Linked DNA regions of Elephas maximus indicus. The protein of the gene in region 1 binds, or shares a complex with, the protein of each later gene. Links are inferred from orthologs where the notes say so. Each region holds a gene or a part of one and is shown on either strand. Other genes may lie near its edges. The genes, in order: ABCC9 and KCNJ8.

What was found.
Region 2: the proteins of ABCC9 (region 1) and KCNJ8 are in contact, whole or in part, in a cryo-EM structure (PDB 7MIT), measured with the Rattus norvegicus proteins. The link is inferred for Elephas maximus indicus from reciprocal best matches to the Homo sapiens genes ABCC9 and KCNJ8. Residues at the interface, in XP_038963045.1 of Rattus norvegicus: Phe5, Ile10, Tyr13, Asn14, Ile15, Val19, Asn22, Cys24, Phe25, Ala28, Leu29, Val32, Val35, Phe36, Phe39, Phe42, Pro43, Ile44, Phe46, Ile47, Gly48, Trp49, Gly50, Ser51, Lys55, Gln57, Ile58, Asn129, Phe130, Lys132; in NP_058795.3 of Rattus norvegicus: Met1, Leu2, Lys5, Ile7, Ile8, Pro9, Glu11, Tyr12, Val13, Leu14, Ala15, Arg16, Ile17, Ala19, Glu20, Asn21, Leu22, Leu45, Ala46, His47, Lys48, Asn49, Gly54, Arg55, Phe56, Leu57, Asp59, Ile60, Thr62, Thr63.

What each region holds. Positions count from the first base shown.
Region 1 is NC_064822.1:80,545,285-80,556,117, reverse strand, and holds the start of ABCC9 (ATP-binding cassette sub-family C member 9), read left to right. Parts: upstream 1-4,879; 5' UTR 4,880-5,036; intron 5,037-5,405; exon of another isoform or gene 5,406-5,957; intron 5,958-7,019; exon of another isoform or gene 7,020-7,896; intron 7,897-9,203; 5' UTR 9,204-9,263; intron 9,264-10,833. UniProt on the Homo sapiens protein: Subunit of ATP-sensitive potassium channels (KATP). Can form cardiac and smooth muscle-type KATP channels with KCNJ11. KCNJ11 forms the channel pore while ABCC9 is required for activation and regulation.
Region 2 is NC_064822.1:80,373,404-80,384,236, forward strand, and holds the start of KCNJ8 (ATP-sensitive inward rectifier potassium channel 8), read right to left. Parts: upstream 7,636-10,833; 5' UTR 7,197-7,635; intron 6,330-7,196; 5' UTR 6,265-6,329; coding exon 5,891-6,264; intron 671-5,890; coding exon 1-670. UniProt on the Homo sapiens protein: Inward rectifier potassium channels are characterized by a greater tendency to allow potassium to flow into the cell rather than out of it.

The DNA.
Region 1 (10,833 bases):
TCCCTCCCTGTTCTGGTACTCCAATCATTCATAGGTTATTTCTCTTGATGGAGTCTCACATGTTTCTTAGGGTTTCTTCATTTTTTTTTTAATTTTTTTTATCTGATTTTTCTTCAAATATATTGGTGCCAAGTGTTTTATCTTCAATCTCACTAATTCTGGCCTCCACTTCCATGATTCTGTTCCTCTGACTTTCTATTGAGTTGTCTAATTCTGTAATTTTATTGTTAATCTTCTGAATTTCTGATTGCTGTCTCTCTGTGGATTCTTACAGCTTACTGAATGTTTCATTATGTTCTTGAATAACCTTTTTAATTCCTTCAACTGTTTTATCTGTGTGTTCTTTGGCTTGTTCTGTGCATTGCCTGATCTCCTTCCTGATGTCTTGAAGAGTTCTGTATATTAATCTTTTGTATTCTGCATCTGGTAATTCCAGGAAGGCACCTTCATCCAGAAGATCCCTAGATTCTTTCTTTTGAGAGCTTGTTGAAGCAATCACGGTCTGCCTCTTTATGTGATTTTATATTGACTGTTGTCTCTGAGCCATCTATTAGTTATTATATTAGTTTATTTTATGTTTGCTTATTGTATCCCAGCTTCTTGCTTTGTTTTGTTTTGATATGCCCAAGTGGGTTGCTTGAGTGAGCTAGCTTGATTAACCTTTGAAGCTCTAATGTCCTGTCACCAGATGAATAGAGCTGTTATCAGGTATATGAACCTAGGAGCCCATTCACTTTTCTTGTATGGATTCAGCTCAGCTGTCCAAGGAGTTGGTCATCAAGTGTGTGGTACAGGCCCTGTCCTATAGTCTTAGAGGAGCAAGCATGATTGGTGTAGGTACAGGCATCTGGTTGCAGCAGGGGGTCACGCTCTGAACAAGGCAGGGGGGTGACAACCATCCCCCAAGTGTCTGTGAAGAAAGCGCAACCCTGTTCCCTGCAGTGCACAGGTGGGTGGGTTCTGCAGATGGACCATGGGCAACCAGTGCTTTTGGTTGTAATGACTGGGAGGTAGCAGTTATCCTTGGACCTGTGTCATGGGTGGCTGGGTGACCTGAGTGGAGCCACCAGTCCTTAGGCCTCTGATGTGGGTAGGTGAGGATCCTGTCTAATCAGCAAAGCAGTGTCAAACATCAAACACGAACCTCTTCACTGCACAGATGAAACAGCTGCAGTTGCAGTCTGCCAACAAGGGCCTATTCTCCTGAAACAGGTCTGTGCAGGCGGAAAAGGTATTCAAAGTCCATGGACTGTTATGGCTGGACAGGAGCTGCTTCTGTTCTGAGCTCCCCAGGTTAGTGGAGCTGACAGATTATCTTTTCCCCTAATTGTGAATTTATTCCTTCTCCAAGGCAGGGAGAATGGCTCAGAATGCTCAGTGGGACCTATCTTAGGCTCAGGGAAATTGACAGCCACTGATGCTGGCTTGAGGGCTGGGGGCACAGTAAAATATATGCAAGTACTTAGCTTTTGCCAAGATCGCCATTTGTCTCTGGTTCTGGAGGTGTGAGTAGGCTGTGCAGCTGGCTGTTTCTCCCTGAGGATACTGTGGTGGAAAGCTACCACCAACCCGCCACAGTCACTCCTGGGAATGGTGCCTGAGGGTTCCCACCAAGTCAGGTCTGGCAACTCCTCTCCACTTCTGAATTGTCTCTCCCTCCCCCTGCTGCTCAACCCATTTTCTAACTTTGGCTTTGATGTTCAGGGCTCCTAGCTTGTCATAAATATAATTGTTTCACTTGTTTTTTCAGGTCTTTGTTGTAAGAGGGATCACCAGAAGCGTCTGACCACTCTCCCATCTTGGCCTCACCTCCAATGTATTCTTAATAGCAGCACAAAATATGAAAACAAAAATGAAACTCTATTACTAATTTTTACAAGAAATGTACAGACATAATACTGAGTTATAAAGAAAACTTGAATAAATGGGAAACCATATTTTTGGATGAAAAGACAGAACACTCAAAACATATTTATAAATTATTTCCTAGATTTAATGAGATTACAGTAAAATCCCCAAAACAGAATAGCTAAGAACGTTTTGAACAGAGTAAAAGGGAGACTAGCACTACCAGGTTTTAAAATATAACTTAAAGCATTGACAATCAAATTAGTCTGATCATAGGAACAGAACAGAAAAAAAATTGAAAAACAGATGAATTGACCAAAATAGTTAGCCCATACACAGATACTACTATAAAATAATTAGATATATATTATGAAAGTTGCTGGTTGTGGTGTAATTAAGAGTTCCGCTGCAAACCTAAAAGTTCAAATCTACCAGCTGCTCCTTGGAAACCCTATGGGGCAATTCTACTCTGTCCTATAATGATGCTACGAGTCGGAATTGACTTGACTACAATTTTTTTCTCTTTATAAATCAGGGAAAAAATAAATACAAAGATTATTCAGTAAATTGTGTTGGTGTAATGATAAAAATGTTAAGTTAGATTTTCATCCCATGGCATATGCCAAAACAAACTCTGGAATCAAATTTAAAAATACCTTTCAACAAATAAAAACGGAAAGCTAATATTTATAAACTGAAAAAGAATTGGAATGCATTGTGTAAATATAAAGCAACAAATCTTTGTACATAAACTTTTCCTTAGAAGGAAGCATTAAAAAGGCAGAGACTCTGGAGGTCTGTCTTATTACTGAACTCTGTGCCTGGCACGAGACCTAGCATATAGTATGTGCTCTAATAAATGTTTTATAGAATGCATAAAACAATTGGGAGCGTCACCATTTTTTTTTTAACTGATAAATCGGGAAAATATTTATCATATGTATATAAGGAAACCCTGGTGGCATAGTAATTAAGAGCTACAGCTGCTAACCAAAAAGGTCAGCAGTTTGAATCCACCAGGCGCTCCTTGGAAACCCTATGGGACAGTTCTACTCTGTCCTTTAGGGTTGCTATCAGTCTGAATAGACTCAGTGGCAATGGGTTTGGTTTTTATATGTATATAAATGAAGGTGTATTATACTTTTCTCATTAAAAGTGATACAGATGATAAACTTCATTAAGACAAATGGACAAATGTGAACAAACCTTCACCACAGATGAAATACAAAGATGAATGAAGATTTGAAAAAACGTTGAATGTCAATAACAAAGAATTGCATGTTATCTGTCATATTACAGTAATTTTGCTTTATTTTTAAATAAACCCTTGTGGTGCAGTGGTTAAGAGCTACAGCAAGAGCTACAGCAAGCTAGTTCGAATCCACCAGCTGCTCCTTGGAGCCCCAATGGGGGCAGTTCTACTCTGTCCTATAGGGTTGCCATCAGTCAGAATCCACTCAACGGCAATGGGGAGTGGATGGTTTGGGTATCAGTGAAATAGGTCATCTTACACAGTTTGGTAAGTTAATATAATTTCTTTTTAAAAAGTTAAGTGTATCTTAAATTATCTGCCACACGGGGGAAAAAAGCTTGATGTGCAAAGTCCACCGTTGGATGATATATATACATATATAAAAAAACCCAGACCCACTGCTGTCCAGTGGATTCCAACTCATAGCGACCCTATAGAACAGAGTAGAATGCCCTCATAGAGTTTCCAAGGAGCGCCTGGTGGATTCGAACTGCCAACCTCTTGGTTAGCAGCTGTAGCACTTAACCACTACATCACCAGAGTTTCCGTATATTATATATAATAGTGAAAATTTGGCAACTACATATCCAACAGTAGAAAAATGGTTTTAAATTTTTGGTATATTACACAATGGGATATTATGCAGCCATTTGAATAATATCTGTGAAGATCTAACATACCATCAGAAAATTGTTTTAAAAGATAGTATGGGGAGATAAATTATGTTGTGATTGCCAAGACTATAAAATATGCATAGAAAATATAGAAAAACGATAACTATTACTCAGAGTTTACCGAGGGCGCTCACATTGTCTCAGCACTTCACAGGCACTATCTCATTTACCATCACATCAACCCTGTAGCATATACCTTTATTTATTCCATTGAACAGATGAGGAAACTGATACACAGAAGGGTTAAGCAAATTGTACAAAGACACTGAGCTAATAAGTGGGGTAGCAGAATTTTTATCTTGCAGGCTGACTCCAGCGTCTGCACTCTTAATTATTGCACTATATCTCCTTTTTTTGTTAAAATACAACAAAAAGTTTTCCGTAGTAATCGTGACTTACTATCATTAGAATACCCAAAGTACTATGGAAAAAAAAATTCCCATCAGCTCTATTTTGTGCAGTCAAATATAGGATTTCTATCTGGGGATTATTGTCACCTTCCTCTTTCTTGTGCTCTCTCCGTAGATGCCCTGATAATCCTCTGTCCCCCCTTGTGGTTTGTTCATTCGGTCTCCAGGTCCCATGCCCAGCGCCGAACTTCCCACTCTTGAAACTAGTTCCTTTCTCCCTGCGCCTGCGTCGCGGCCAAGAGTCTCACTCAGGGTGAAGTTGCCAAGCGCTCAAAGGCCGCCAAATCTTTGTCTTATGGACCCTCCCGGTTGCCACCCTATGTGAGCTTGCAGACTCCTAGTGGTTGTAGGTTCAAGCCCCCCAGCCACGGCGGTCATTGCTCCAGGAGTGCAGCGACCTTTTCGTAAGCGAGGCGCCCGCGGAGAAACCCCCCTGCGATGCAGAAGGGGTGTCGACCTTTGCTCTCAAGGTCAGCGAGGCGGGCAGGCTGCGTTTTGCACCTCTGTGTACAGACCGTGATCCACCCAGTGTAGGGTTCAGGTCCTGGAGCGGTGCCCCCTGGGGGACGCGACGAGTCCGGGAGCACCAGTCCTGCTGGTTAGGCCAGTTGCTGAAAATAATAATTATTTCAAGCTGACTCAGAAGTAGCCCCTGAGAAAATTGAGTGCTAATTAAAGATGTTTCCTGGCTGCGGAGGCCAAAGGTTACTACTTGCAGACTGGGGGCGTTAGGATGGAGCGAGCGTATTTTAAACACGGTATCTCCTGGAGAGTTACTTCTCTGGCGGCAGGAGGAGGGGGGAACTGCGTGTGCAGCCGGTGGAACCAAAGTCCCTCTTTCGGGAAGCCTGGGTAAGGGGTAAGGGTCTCCCTTCGGTAGCGCGGCGGCTTGGGAGCAGTAACCCAGTTTTTCGGGTCTCCGGAGCGGGGGAAGGAATGTTCGGCTTGACCCTGTGTTGCTCTTGTGAGATCCTGGCAAGCGATAATTTAGCCCGGCAGCGCGTTCCTCTACTTAGCATGAGCCCTCTATTTCCACAGTGTGCCCAGGGGAGAGAAAGAAAAAAAACAAAAAAGAACAGAAAAACCGAAACCCCAAATCTGATTCCATATGTGGCTAATAAAAGCAAGTATGCAAAACATAAAGAGCCCCGGTGGTGCAGTGGTTAAAGCGCTGAGCTGCTAAACAAAAGGTCAGGGATGGGAACCCACCAGCCACTCCTCAGGGAGAAAGATGTGGCAGTCCGCTTCCTAAAGATTTACAGCCTTGGAAACCCTAGGGGGGAGTTCTGCACTGTCCTATGGGGTCACTAGGAGTAGGAATCCACTTTAAGCCATGGGAATGGAAATACAAAACATACAATACATATACATACCTATAAAGTGAGTACCTTGCGTGTTTTGACGATGAAAACCCGGCTCTGGTTAATCATTGAATCACATGTCGCAAGTGTCAGTGTCTAATGAAATTTGGGGGACGCACGTTATTTGGGTTCGTGAACTCTTTGCCTGGCGTGGCGGGAGTTTGCTGCTGAAGTGCGCCGAATGCGGGGCCGAGCGGGGGTGGGGAGGGTCTCCAGTCCCAGGCGCTGCGCGGGGCTTCTGCCCAGTTTCCTGCCTCGCTAGAGTCGCTGTGTCCGCCTCGGCCCCAGAGCCGTCAGTGTAATTGAGAAACTCGATAGGAGGCAGCAGCTGATCTCCCACCACCCTAAAAATAATCCGCCCCGGCGCCCGGCGTGCTTCGACTAGGGAAGGAAAACTCTGCCTTCGGAGTAAGTAAGTCCGTGTCTTTTACATAAATATTATTTTAAAAATTAAGAATAACTCTGAACTATCTGTTGTGATCTAACATTTCGGCAACCAAAAGCCGCAGGAGCACTCTCTCAGCGCTACGCGTTCACGATCGTTATTTCTAGAATGAAGGGACCGGGCCCCAGAACTGAGAAGACAGGATCAGATTTCCAGCCTTACTTACAAGGCTGCCGGCTTCCACATAAACCAAGTGGAAACAGAACAAGGGGTTATTATTAATTTTTTTTCTCTTAGACATTTCCTGTATTGTTCATGAAAGTAGCTTTCTATCTGCTTAATTTTTTGTAACGCTTTGCTTTTTTAGGAGCTCTGGGTCCACGTTTGAAATATACGTCCTAAAACAGTGTAGGAAGCCTGTGTTTTGAAGGTAGCAAAGTACACGCCTAGGGGTTTCAGGCAGCGTCAAGCGATTGCCCGTGGTATTTATGTTTTGCTTTGCTTAGTTTGGGATTTAAAAAATTCCCGTTGCAGTGTCTGTCCAAGGGATCTTATCTGCTGAGTAGTTCCAACATTTCCTTTGGTGTGCATAGAACTTCACAGCCACGGAAGAGTGAATGGGTGGATTCAAATTAGCAGTAAATCAGAAGTCAGTGGTCATTTTTACTAATACTTTTCTTATGTGGACCTGCTACAGATGGGTGGATGAATAGATGAGTGGATGGATAGATGATAGACAGATATCCACTAGTTCATATTTTATGAACTGTGGGCCGATGGCTCTTCCAAAGAAGCTATTAAACCATTTGTGCTTGCAAGTGGTCACCATCCTAAAAAATGCTCTAGGTACTGATAAAGCACTGAGTAAATCCTTCATAATGTCGTGTTTCTCTCTCATAGCATGAATTTGGTTAATTTAATAAGTAAAGAATGAATGATTTCACATGTAAGAAAAGCTTTTACATTGCCTTTAGCACGTTTTCTTCAGGTGTTTCCAAGCTTTTTAGGTTCTCTGAGATTAGTATTCCATGAGAATTGTCACTGGCTGCTGAGTGAAAGAATGCTAGTTTTCACCTATTTTATTTACAGTTCTACTACCAGAGAAGAGGGCTGACAAAAATAAGTGATGTATCTGATGTACTTGAACACTTTGACCATATTTTTAGAATTAAATCTGACCATTATTGTTCCTCCCTTATGGAGGAGCCAGCAGAGCTGAGAAGCCAATTACTCATCAACTAGACCCAAAATTTATAAATCCTAGGGGCTGTGGAACCTCGTACGATGCGTCTCAAGGAATAAGAATACTAAGGTTGGTATTCTTGCCATAAAATCAAGTGCTTGGTTTCAGAGTATTTTTGTTTTATGTCTTTGCTCTGCAGACCACTCCTGTAATAAAAGTGTCATTTTTATCTTTGTCTTTATAGTCCATTCGGTCAAGTTCTCCAATCCTGTAGACTGTCATAAACACCTAAATGTCTTGGTTTATGCTTTCCGAGAAGAAAAAAGTCATGGCCTCTCTTCCTCTCCCTCCCCCTTGCTGTTTGGGCCTCTGTCAGTGCTTAGCTGATCCAGACAGCTCCCGAAGGGGTGTGGCTGAACGATGTCAAGTGACAGAGTTTAGCTTACAGTAGCAGCAATTTATAACCTTCCCAAAAAAGCATTATTAACTTAACATGGACTCTGGGAGAGAAACACTGAATGGCAGTCGGAGATTTAAGAATTAGTTAGAAATCCTGACTGAATAAAAGACCTTCGGTAAACACAGAGAATTATCAACACATATGCAATAAGTTTATTCCTTCCCTCTTTTTGTTTCCGCTGGGTTGTAATGTAGTGTAGCTGTTAGAAGGTGCCACACACACTGGGTGTTGGAGAAGGAAGCTAAGGTTCAAGGGGAAGAGGATGGAAGAGGAGGAGGCAGAGGAAAAGCAAAAGGGGAGATGTGGTGAGAGGAAGCCGACAGGTTGGGACCCATTGCCCATTGCCGTCGAGTCAATTCCGACTCATAGCGACCCTATAGACAGAGTAGAACTGCCCCATAGAGTTTCCAAGGAGCCCCTGGTAGATTCAAACCGCTGACCTTTTGATTAGCAGCTGTAGCACTTAACTACTATGCCACCAGGTTGGGAGCCTGGGGGAAATGTGAGGTTAGAGATTGTGGGAGAAGGAAGAAATCAATCTAAAACTTTGAGGTAGACCCCTTGGTGTGATTATATTGTCTATTTGAGTGTGTGTGTGTATATATATATATATATGGAAAGGTATATATATGTAAGTGTATGTGTGTGTATGTATATATATTTACATTATACCAAGAATTGTTGTAACTAGTGTGGTCTCATGCACTAATGGATTGCCAATGCCTAGCACATGGTCAACACCCAATAAGTATTTTCATAATTAATTAATGGCCTAGAATCCCAGACATCTGGTATATGGCTGAAAATGTCCCTAAACTTTTTCAGGTGTTGTACTTCTCTGAAAGTGTCTTTCCACAGCTACAGAACATTTACTCAAATGTTATTTAATGGTAGTTTTTAGGTGTGATTAAAATACTAGGCAGGTAATGTTTATAGGTAATGGGGAATGTATTATGCAAATTCAGGGCATTCTTTATCATTGGCTCACTGATAATGATTAAAAATCAAGGTTTAGAAATACGGTCATTTGGAGTATTATAATTTTAGATAAAAGTAACTAAAGTAAAAATTATTGTCGGTTCATACTTGGAAACAGTTTATATATGTCTTTCACTTAAGAGTGTGTTTAAATTTTCCCTTTATCATTTCTACTAAATAAAGGAAGTAGTCTGAAAAATTTCATTACTAGGAATTATTTTTTTGTTGCTATTTTTTCCATCTTTACCAGAAATGCATCTAACATGCAAATATTTATTCATAACTTGTATTTTACTGTTTTTTTTTATCTCAAGTCTTTTCTAATTATTTTATCCACCTTAGGACTTCAGTAGTTTGTAAATACTTACCAAATATATAACCTCATACTGAGTTTTTTGTTTAACTGTAACTTTGTTTTTTAAATGAGACATGGTCTCAATTAGAAAGCATAACAAAAATGATTTCTCAATAAAAGGGTTTATCAGAAATACTATGTGAGAGAGATTCAGGGTAAAACTATACTTAAACAGTTGTCTAACTAGTTCTATTCATATGTTTTATTAAACCTTCACTTAACATTTAATTTCTCTAATAGTTTACCTACTACTGCCAGTCTTCTGTGTGTAACACTCTTTGTTGTTGTTTCTTCTAGGAAAAATATTTTTCATGACCATTGCTAAATCTGTTATCAATGAAAGAGAAGAGAGAAAAGGTACTATGTTAATTAATCAAACCTTTGCCAACTTTTAATAATCTAACTCAGAATCTAGTGTGCCATAAATATGGAAAAGAAACAAAGTCCAGTGACGTTAAAATCTTAAGCTGGTACTTATTTTAATAGAAGTAGAGAAGACATTTTCTTAAAAAAATAGGCCGGAGGTGTTGTGATACAGTGGAGAGAACATAGTATACAGTCAGACACTTTGTGGGTGTGGATCCTGGCTTGTCTACTGGCTGGCGAATTACTGAACCTATGTGAACCTCAGCATCCTTCTCTGTAAGATGAGAATTACATTATTCATCTTGCATAGTGGTTCTGAGAATGTAAGATGATGTATACAAAGTGCCCAGAATTTCATAGGTGCTGAATAAATGATTGCTCTTCTGTGCTGTCGAGTTGATTCCTACTCATAGCGACCCTATAAGACAGAGTAGGAAGGCTGTAATTTTTACTGAAGCAGACTGCCACATCTTTCTTCTGTGGAGCAGCTGTGGGCTTGGACTGCTGACCATTCAGTTAACAGCCGAGTGCTTAATCACTGTGCCACCAAGCCTCCTATTTAAATAAATGATAAGCATTATTATAAAAGAAGTTTTCAGAAGGCTAAAACTTCTGCTGGAGTGTCACATTAGAATTTTTTTTTTTCAGTTGTGCTTTAGGTCAAAGTGAAAAAGTTAACAGCTCAAGTTAATTTCTCATTAAAAAATTTATACACATATTGTTTTGTGACATTGGTTGCAATCCTCACAATGTCACAGCATGCTCCCCCTTCCTACCCCATGTTCCCTGTCTCCATTCATTTGGTTCCTGTCCCTTCCTGCCTTCTCATCCTGCTTTTGGACAGGAGCTGCTCATTTGGTCTCATATATTTGATCAAACTAAGAAGCATGTTCCTCACATGTTTTTTGTTTTATAGGCCTGTCTAATCTTTGTCTGAAAAGTGGGCTTCAGGAATGGTTTCAGTTCTGGGTTAGCAGAGCATCTGGGGCCATAGTTTCAGGGATTCCTCCAGTTTGGCAGACCTCAACTCCTCTATCATATGTCTCAGCACAGCAATGAGGAATCCATTTAAAATGTACGTTAGAGTATGTCACTTCTCTGCTCAAAACCCCTCAGTGACTCCTCATTTCACTCAGAGTAAAGCCAACATCTCAGAAATGGCCTTCAAAGCCCTGCATCATTTTGCCCTCTGTTAACCTCTCTCACCTCATCTACTTCAATCAAAAGACATCCTTCTGAACATATTGATCAAAGATTCTAAAGAAGATTCCTAATCAAAAGGGGGAAAATGCAGAACAGAATCCAAATTCCTGATGGAGTCCACACTTTCTGGAGCTACTGAAGCTGGAGGAACCCCTGAAACTATTGCTTTGAGATAATCTTGAAACTTTAAAACTTAAGCCAAAACTATCCCCTGAAGTCTTCTTTGAACCAAAAAATAGCTTATCTAAATTAGTAAAGTATGTCTGCTTTGAGCATTGTACCCTTAAAGAACTATCTATATGAGTTCAAATGGACAATGACAACTTTAAAGATTGCATGGGAAGTTTAGGGTGTAGGG
Region 2 (10,833 bases), about 170 kb from region 1:
TACTTTGACAGTGTTGCCAAATTTGGAGTAATCCACAGAATACACACCTTCCTCCTCGGTCACAATAGACACAAAGCGGTGGCCCCATTGGATTTCCTCAGCGATGTAGGAGGTTCGTGCTTGTGTTGTAATGCCAGTAGTTTCGACCACTCCTTCCAGAATGACTATGACCTCCAGGTCTTGGTTGACGAGGTCAGTTGCTGAGATATCATACAGGGGGCTACGTTTGTCAATCACATGAGAGATGATCAAAGGGGCCACCAGAAAAATGTTATTACTCTCAATAGGATTATCGACAGGAATGTCCAGTTGGTGAATGGGCACCACCTCCCCTTCAGGTGTGGTTGTTTTCCTGACCACCTGGATGCGTACTGAGGCGCTAATGATCATGCTTTTCCTTAGGTCACCCACTCGGAACATGAAGCACAGCTTGCCATTTCGGACGGCAATCACAGCATGGCGGCTGAAAATCAAAGTCTCCGCCCTTCTGTGAGCCTGAGCTGTTTTCATGAAAATGCAGCCCAACATAACTGCATTGATGATTAAACCTACAATGTTCTGGAGAATCAAAACTGTGATGGCCAGAGGGCATTCCTCTGTCATCATTCTCCCTCCAAATCCAATTGTCACTTGAACCTCAATGGAGAAGAGAAAAGCAGAGGTGAAAGATCTGCAAGGAATGGTATCAGAAAACAATGCCATTAGATCAAATTCTGAGTAATAAATAGCATATCGAGCTGAATTTTTCACTTTCTTCCCTCAAAAGTCATCAAATGCTTTTGGAAATACTAGTCGACTTGCCAGATGCCCAACTCTAAGCACAAGCTCTTTTTGTTGTCGTTGTTTCTGTATGCACACTATCTCCAGCTGTCTAGGATACAATTCTGTTAGTGTTTTCTAGGTCATTAAATGATCAGCCTCCTTGTGCAAAAGCATTAATATGATAAAATAATAAGCATCTTCCTGGTAGACAGTTTCACAAAGTAAACAATGTCTATTTCATGAAGAACTGACACATCATCAGATTGAAAATTATTTGTTAATCTAAATTAAAGTCCGTACCATAGAGACTTACCGAACAATATTTTTAACAAGCACTTACTCTTGAATGGTGGAAACCCTGGTGGTGTAATGGTTAAGAGCTATGGCTGCTAACCAAAAGGTTGGTGGTTCAAATCCACCAGGTTCTCCTTTGAAACCCAAGGAAGAAGCTCTACTCTGTCCTATAGGGTCGCTATGAGTCAGTATTGATTCGATGGCAACGGCTTTGGTTTGGTTTTTTTACTCTTAAATGTAAACCCTGGTGGCATAGTGGTTAAGAGCTACAGCTGCTAACTAAATGGTCAGCAGTTCGAATCCGCCAGGCGCTACTTGGAAACTCTATGGGGCAGTTCTACTCTGTCCTATAGGGTCACTAGGAGTTGGAATCAACTCGACGGCAACGGGTTTGGTTTTGGTTTGATTTTACTCTTGAATATTTGTGTTTAAGTAACTCGAGTCATATTGAAAGTAGAACAATGCATGAGCTTTTAACTCTTTGTACTTTTAAAATCATGTTCATTTGCTAATACTTATTGTATACTTTATACAGACAAGGCACAGTTCGTAACATAGAGACTTTACCAAACAATATTTTTAACAAGCACTTACTCTTGAATATTTGTGTTTGACGGAGTCATATTGAAAGTAGAACAGTGAGTGAGCTATTCACTATTTATAACCTTTAACATCAGGTTCATTTACTAATACTGTGTACTTCATACAGACAAGGCACAGTGCTACAAAGTGGCACAAAACCCATCATTCAAAAGTACTAGTATTTTTAATAATAAGGAATATCTTGCCATTAGGAAAGAAAGGTGTTTTCTTATCTAATGTGTCTTCTATGTGATCTAACGGTTACTGAAGTTACTAAAGGAAGAATCTGAGGCAGAGATTGGCAAATGTCTACGTCAATGTCAGCATCATATCTTGAATAAGAACTTGAATCTTCTGAATTCTGGCCAAGTGCTCTGAAAGTGGAAATGGGAAAGGCCAATAAGTGTCAGAATTTCCTTGGGGAGCTTTATTAGAACGCACACCTCCTCCACATCTCAGTGCAGACACTGGCTTGGTAGGGTCAAGGTTGGAACTGGGTAAGACTCTTTGGAAAGCTCTCAGGTGATTCTGATTCAGTCTCACCCCACCCCACCCTTTTGAGTGGCATTTTCATTATCCTTATCATTCATTTGTTCACTTCCTACATTCCAAACACTGCCACAGCTTCTTAATAGAAACAATATTAGTCCTGCCTTCCTCCCCAAACCACAATTTCAAACTTCTCTAAGACAAGCTATGCATAGGCCATCTGTCAAAGTTTCATCAAATGACAGCATTCCTTAATGTCACACACAATGAGTGAGCAAAATTTTAAAACATTTGAATACTTAATATACACAACGCACCTTGCTGGGATGCCAGGAGGGGGTAAGGGAGCAGGCATAAATGACTGTTTTGATTAGCCTTTAAGTGGAGTGTGAAAGTTGCCTTTTCTCTTTCTTTCTTGAATTAAGGATTTATAGGAAACCACATTACTTGCTACTTGCACTAGCTATTTAAAACAAGGTATGCCACATGGTGCAAAACTATGGCAAAGAATAGGAACGGACTCCAGAGGAAGGGCACAGACACACTGATTTCTAAAAGGAGCCCTGGTGGCGCAGTGGTTAAAGCACTCAGCTGAGAACTGAAAGTTCAGAAGTTCGAACCCACCAGCCGCTCTTTGGGACAAAGATGTGGCAATCTGGTTCTGTAAATATTTATAGCCCTGGAAGCCCTATGGGGCAGTTCTATTCTGTCCTACAGGGTCGCTATGAGTCGGAATTGACTCAACGGCAGTTGGTGAGTATCATACTAAGCAATGCCAACAGATGAAAGTGTTTAGCTCTTCTTTTGTTCTGGTACAGAGAGTGAGGCTGAATCATAATGAGAGAGGGGAAACAATGCTGCTTTACTTTCTGACTCTGAGAGTCACCTACACTCAGGGGAAAGATAGCCACTGTAAAACGAGAGTGTAGAATGTTGTTTGGAAATGTTGGTGAGTATCTACTTTAAAAAGTTGTTTCTCTTGATGAAGTGGCGGGACATTGAATTTAGGAAAGGAAATTTAACGAATCATTTTTAGCCATATTTTAAATTCCTTTTGGGAGGGCACAGAGACTTTTCTGTTTCTATATTTTTGGTGACTTTTTTTTGGTAAGGTTTCTTGTGATTAAACTGTATGTTGAGATTAAAGTATCAATGTTGTTGTTAGGTGCCATCCAGTCGATTCTGACTCATAGAGACCCTACAGGACAAAGTAGAGCTGCCCCATAGGGTTTCCAAGGGTGGCTGGTGGATTCAAACTGCTGACCTTTTGGTTAGCAGCCAAGCTCCTAACCAGTGTGCCACCGGGGCTCCAAAGTATCAATAAACCAAACCAAATCAAACCGGTTACCTTCTAGTCGATTCCAACTCATAGTGACTCTATAGGACAGAGTAGAATTGCCCCATAGAATTTCCAAGAAGCACCTGGTGGATTAAAACTGCCAAACTTTTGGTTAACTGCCCTAACTCTTAAACACTACACCACCAGGGTTTCTGAAGTATCAATAGTACCACAATATTGAAATAAAATCAGTAAGAATAGAACAACTTTAAAGAGAGCAAGGGGACCTGAATAGAACAACTTTAAAGAGAGCAAGGGGACCTGGTGGAGAAGTGGTTAAGAGCTCAGCTGCTAACCAAAAAGGCCAGGAGTTTGAATCTACCAAGTGCTCCTTGGAAACCCTATGGGGTAGTTCTATTCTGTCCTATAGGGTTGCTGTGAGTCAGAATCTACTCAATGGCGGTGAGTTTTTGTTTTGTTTTGTTTTAAAGGTAGCAAATAATTTTTTTGTAGGAAGGAGCTGCAATTTAAAATGCTAAAATTGCTGTGCTATTTATTTTCAGCATTTATCATAGTTAATGTTCACATAAGCAGGAGTGCATCTGGGGATTGAATAAACATGCTTCAGGTCACATCTTATTTGAAAAATAAGAGCTAATGGCTTTTAATAACCAGAAGACACTCTAAAGTTCTTTTAAAAAATTATTGGAAGAATATTATTCTTACGTATTTAATAAACTGCTTAATGACTTCATTTTCAAGGAAAAAGGCAATATATTTGTCTTGTGAATAAAATCTGTCATTTATCTTCAACGATTATCTTTTTAGTTTCTTTTATCTCTTTTTACAGAGTGGCTACTGCATATTTGGAGCCCTGGTGGTTAAGAGCTCAGTTGCTAACCAAAAAGGTCGGCAGTTCGAATCTACCAGCTGTTCTTTGAAAACCTTATGGGGCAGTTCTACTCTGTCCTCTTAGGTGTCTACAAGTTGGATTTGACTTGACGGCAATAAGTTTACTGCATATTTACCAACAATTTCTCTTGATATGAAAATGATTCACCAATCCCAGTGTCAGTAAGTATCCTAAAGAGAAATATTATAGAAAATGATATTTGACCTTCAAATACCTGTTTCGTACAGTATTTTAATGGTTTTCTTGGTAACTGATGTTGGGATGATCACCTACATTTTCCTTTGAAACAAAAGTTTGTGTTGAAAAGAAAATAATATTTACTCAATGGTAAAGGCAGTAAGTTGATCAAGTCAATCTGGTATTCTCTCCTCCTGAAATCTGTGGTGTCCTCTCTCTACATACAAATGTTGCTTTCCTCTATGGGATGCTGGCACTGCAGTTACTTAGGAAATGGGAGCATGGACAAGGTCATAGCCTGGGTTTCTGGTTCTTGCAGCGGTATGCTAGCTTTATAAGATTCCACGGTCAGTAAAGCATTCATTCTTTACAGTTTCCTGGCAGTATGGTTCTTGTTCAAGTTTCTTTTCTTTGTGCACTATGTGAATTTGGCACATAATTCAGAAAATGTCCTGGAAATTTTTCCATTATTATTACTATTGTTTTGCTTCAGAGTAAATGTTTTTGCAATAGATATAAATTATCTTTTTCAGTATTCCAACAAAATAAATTAAGATACAGATCACTCCAGCCAAATATTCTTAGATCATCTTAAAATATGAAAAGAGATTCACTGGAAACAAATTCAGTTTACCTGTCTTTGAAATACTAGTAAGAGAAAAAGCAAACGTAAAGTAGTTTAAGAACTGTTCCCTCCTTTTTCTGTTAAGTCTTTGAAAGAAAGAGTCCAACATCAACTCACTTCTATATTATCCCTTCCATGAAAATTTTGGACCAATTTCCATTAAAAAATTTTTTTTTCTAGTTCTGAATCTTAACATAACTTTTAATTTCAGAATCCAGTGCAAGGAATTAGCTGTTAAGATAATCATAATAAAGCAGGGTTTATATCCTTTATATTTATTTCATTTTTAGTAGATTTTTAATCTAGGACCCTGTCCGACCAGTGCCATCTCCTTTTTCTCACTATTTCTGAAAATGTAATGGATAAGAGACACCAGGGAAAAATATTACCAGCATCTGCATAATAATTTTTGTTGATCAGAAATATTTATTTGTAGACATTGGAATTATAGACAGCAGTTTTTTATGCTGAAAACTAAACGTGTAGGTCGTGTGTGTGTGTAAGTGCTCTGTGTAATTTTTTTGAACCACAACAATTTTTAAGTAACTGGTGTAAAATTTTCAAATCCAAGGGCTTGAAGTTCCACACTTTGAGACTCATTAGCCATAATGCTGCATTTTAAAAGATTTATAACATCTTAGATTATTCTTACTATTTGTTTTGTTTGTTTCTAAAGCAAACCTTTTATTTCACTTTCAATAAGAGAGTGATAGAAGAAAGGCAATATAATATTTTGACTATGCTACGTGCAGTCCTACTGCATTCTTACCTGACATTAGTCACACACACAGTGGACTCCAAACCACTTTTCTCCATTCCACTTTTCTCCATGTAAGCATAGATGTCCCCATGGGCAAAGGCCACCAGCCACCACATGATGGCGAAGAGCAGCCAGCTGCAGAGGAAAGACATGGTAAAGATGACCAGCGTGTGGCGCCATTTCAGGTCCACCAAGGTGGTAAAGATGTCCTGAAGGAAGCGTCCTTGCTCGCGAATGTTCTTGTGAGCCAGGTTGCAGGCCCCGCTCTTGGCGATGAAGCGGGCTTTGGGGAGTCGGTCTCGGATGCGCGGCTTCCGCAGGTTCTCCGCGGCGATGCGCGCCAGCACATACTCTTCGGGGATGATGCTCTTTCTGGCCAACATCGTCCTGCCACCATAGCCAGCCTATCCACCTGCCTCTGACCTGCCTCCTTCCAAGACCCGTCCTCCTGCACAAGGGAAACGATAATTAAAATAATGATACAATAATAATAATATAGACGTTTTTATAGACAGAGGTATAAAATCATTTCCTCACTTCTTCAGTCTTGTATTCAGGGGCATATCTATACATACAAGGTGGCATGCAAAGCTAAAAGTGTGACTTAATTAATCTAAACACGGGTCTGGCTTTTGCTTGAGTTCTGGGATCCCAGAGAAATTGTTACTTAGTCTGAATCGGTAAACTGATTTAATTTTCCTTTTCATTTTCCACACATGTAGCCGTAGTTAAACAAAACCAGGAGCTTTCATGTAAACAGCAGGCTCAGTGATAATTCTCTGAGTTAACCACATCTGTAGATTAGGGCAAGGATACCAGCTCGAAGTGTCAAGGATGAAAATTTAAGGCCAGAGTGCAGTAGGATCTATTTATTAAAGCATTCAGATGATACAGCAATATTAAAAGTACTGAAGGGAAATTCTCTCTCCGTTATTTTTAGAAGTAGGCAAAGAAAAGGCCGTGGACTCTTGCGCAGTGTAAATAACATGTTTAGTGTAATCTGACAAAATAATAAACGATGTGCTATGTAACTTGAACGTTATGAATAATTATTTTAAATCTGAAGGAAGTCTGAGTTGCATAAAAAAAAAAAAGACAAAAAAGTATCCCATGAAACTCCTAATATTATAACTTGAAAACTTCTTTACAACGAAGGGATCACACCCACAAGAGCCTACAAGCTGCAGACACATAGTAGAATGTTTGAAAAATCCATCCAACACTGCAAACCTATGCTGTGTTTTGCATTTTAAATCATTTGCGGGAATGTGGAAAGCCTCACCCTCCCCTCTCCCGGAGGAGCATTGAAACTTACAGACTCCGGGCAGCGGGCGCGGCGGCTGGACCTTCACACACACGCCGGCCGACCGCCGGCAGGTCCCTTGCTCTCCCATCCCGGCGCGCGGGAGCAGGGGCCGCGAAAGGCGAAAGGACAGATCCGGGGGCCGAGTGGTCTAAAGAGAAGAGATAAAATAGTAAAAGGTGTAATTGAATCTAACTGCCCCGAGGGCTGGGGGGAGGGGGATGGGTGTAGATCTTCCCCTCCCCCTGCTCAGCTTGACTCTCTTGGCAGATACAGTGGGCGAAGGAGGGGCTTGGGGGGAGAGGAGCTTGGGGACGTTGTTCCACAAATCGGCCTCCCGGTTTTGGCTTTGACTTGCGCCAGGCCTCTGAGGCCGCCGCAGTGCCCGAGGTTGGGGCGTGCAGGGAGGAGGCAAAAGGCGCGTCCTGGGGAGGTAGGGAGCCGGCCAGGGGGAGGGGCGACCCTGGGGGAGGGCGGGACCCGCAGAGCCAGCTCTTTTCCCAGTAGCTGCGACCCCCTGCCGCCGGCTGACACACACATCTTTAAAAGGCTCCCTGCTTGGGGAGAGAACTTTTTGAGTCCAAGTTCACTGACGTAAGGAGAATTTATTCCGTATTTTATTATTTATTTATTTTTTGTAACCTGGACAGACAACTGGGTTGTTTCAGATTGAATAAAACCAAATAGAGAGGTCAGAAAATATTCTTCGGAGGTGTTCAAGCTGCGTGTACACGCATTGATGTACATTAAATTTCCCTGTAGTCGTGACATACAGGTGGAAGATGTTCTGAAACCCACTATCGGAAATTACTGCTTCAGCAGCCGAAGCCAGTTTTCAGTAACACGCACACAGAAAACAAACCAAAACAAAATAGCAAAATATTCCCAGTCTGTTCCAGTGAAGAAATTTTACCCCAAACAGGGACAATTGTCAACGCTTTAGCACGCAAACGGTCATTGCTCAGTAATTCTTTGTTTTCTAAAATGTTGCAGCTTCTCAGTCTTGTCTAGATGGTCTGAATGATAAAACAGCAATTACGCACAAGGAAGGTTATACGGTAAATATCCTTCTATAGCTTTTTGAGAAGGAGCCAGCAAAGACAAATGTGCTTTCTCTCCCACAGGTCAAGCCTTGTGATTTTGGCACTTGTGTTAATGGAAACTTTAATTCTTGGAAATTTTATGTATTTTCCAAGACTCGAGGCCGAAAGTGTATGGAGAATAAACAATGTGTTCATCTAATTACTAAAAGACCTAAAATTAGTCTTTAATGAAGGCAAAGGAACGTTTTTCCTCTTTGTGGATAGATTTGCTTAACCCCTTCAAGCCTGGGGTCTAGTCTGTTAGTGGCAGCTCTCCTCTCTACTGATGTTAATCTATGTGATAACTTATGCAGTTAGTTTTATAACAAGTCTGTGGGGACCAATTTGAATAGTCGGTCCAATCATTGTTCTATATTACAATTGAGTTTGGTATACAATTTATTGTCTATTATTTTAGCTCAGGGAACATTCACTGAACATCTATTTTGTGAAAGTTATCACATTTTTTTAGGTTCATGTATCTAGGAATATATAAATATATAAATCACAGTTGCTGCTCTTAAGAGGTTAGACAAGCATAATAAGAGAGATAAAACATTGATAAACTCTAATATAAATAACAATGTGATTAGAAAGGGAAAGGAAATAAACAAGAGATAAAGACTAGGGAACTAAGGAGAGCTTCCTGGATTATTTGACATCTGATCTAGTCTTTGAAAGACCTAATATATTTGGGGCCTGCACAAAAATGGAAAAAAAGACATTCCACAGAGCAGGAACAGCCTGAAGAAAGACATGGAGTACTGGCAACAGTGAGCCATGTTTTCGTAACAGAAACTAATTTAATCAGCACTGATGAAGCAAAGTCAGCGAGATAGCAGGATGGGGCTCTTAATTCCAATGTCCCCTGGGCAGCCTCTCTCTCACCACGTAGTGATTATTCGTACCAGTTGCCAGCGAGTGATTCTGACTTATGGCAACCGCACGTGGGCCAGAGTAGAATATGATCCATAGGGTTTTCAATGGCTGATTTTTTGGAAGTAGATCACCATGCCTTTCTTCCAAGGTGTGTTTGCGTGGACTCGAACCTCCAACCTTTCAGTTAGCAGCAGAGTGCAGTTAACCATTTTCACCACCTAGAGCCTCCGGGTTGTTCATATACTTGTCTTTCCCCTTCACAGAACTGAGAACTGCTAAAGGGCAGAGTTGTGAGCTGTTCACCTTTGTATCCTAAGCCTCTAACAGAGCTTGAATTACAGAGGTGTTCAAAAAATATTTTTGAATCAATAAATGGAAAATATAAGGCTTGAGGAAGCATGTTGGAGTCTTGAAAAAAATGCATAGAAAGTCATAGAAAATGCTCATCAAAGGAGTCTGGACTGTCTTCAGTAGGAAGTGGTAAGCCTTCTGAAGATGGTAGGAAAGATTTTGATCAGAGAGCTACACAAAAAGGACCACCTGTTGGAGAATTGGAAACCCCGGTGATGAAGTGGTTAAGTGCTAAGGCTGCTAGCCAAAATGTTGGCAGTTTCAATCCACCAGGCGCTCCTTGGAAACTCTATGGGGGCAGTTCTACTCTGTCCTGTAGGGTCACTATGAGTCAGAATCGACTTGATGGCAACAGGTATGGTTTGGGTTTTTTTTTTTTTTTTCAGGAAGATTGATCCTGAAGCAGAGAGTAGGATGGATTTGAAAGTTAAACTTCTGAGTCTCTTGGAGCTCCAAAATGATTGGCAGGGGGGAACACCAGAAACCATTACATTCATTAGAAAGGGAACGAGTTCTGGTGCCAATAGGTAATGGCAGTGGGCAATATGCAAGTATATACAAAAGGAATGTTGCACAGTCAGTACTGGAAAAGGGAAAAGTCAGAAGTGACTAAGGTATTTATGATGGTGGCAGAAAAATAGCAGGAAAATTAAACTTAGGGAGATGAGCTGCTGAGGAGAATTTACGAGTAAAATTGCAACAAATAAATCTATATCTACATTATATGAAAATTCTGTTCTTTTGTGATTATACATATTTAAGACTCATTTTTTTCTAATGAGATATATTCTTCCAAATATGCAATTTCAAGTCAACTTTTGACTTGTTTTGATATGGCAAGCTATGATCTATTTTTTAGTATATCATATTATATATATATTTTTAAAGATATGTATCGATTTAAATGGAAAAGCCTCATTCTCCTTTAAGTTGATTAAATAATTAATTTAAATTAATTATATATTCAGAATAAGGGTATTAAGAATACACATAATAAAGGTGAAATTTTAAGAAGTGAATAAGTGAATTATTTGACAATAGAATGACTAAAAACAAATAATGGTCATTGAGAAAAATGATAAAGAATTGAAATATCACAAATTTTCCATTTCTTTTCTCCTTCCATTTCTTTTCTGACATTTTTCCTTAACCAACATTGTGTATTTTTCCCTTAACTAGCTGTCTGCACTGGGTGGGAGCTCTGTGAGGACAAATTGTTTGTTACCACCACACACCCAGTGTCTAGAATTGTTCCTGGTAGCACATACTCAGTAAATACTTGTCCAATGAAAGAAAGAAGTAATAGTGCTTGCAACAGTGTTTCTCTTTTTCATGCA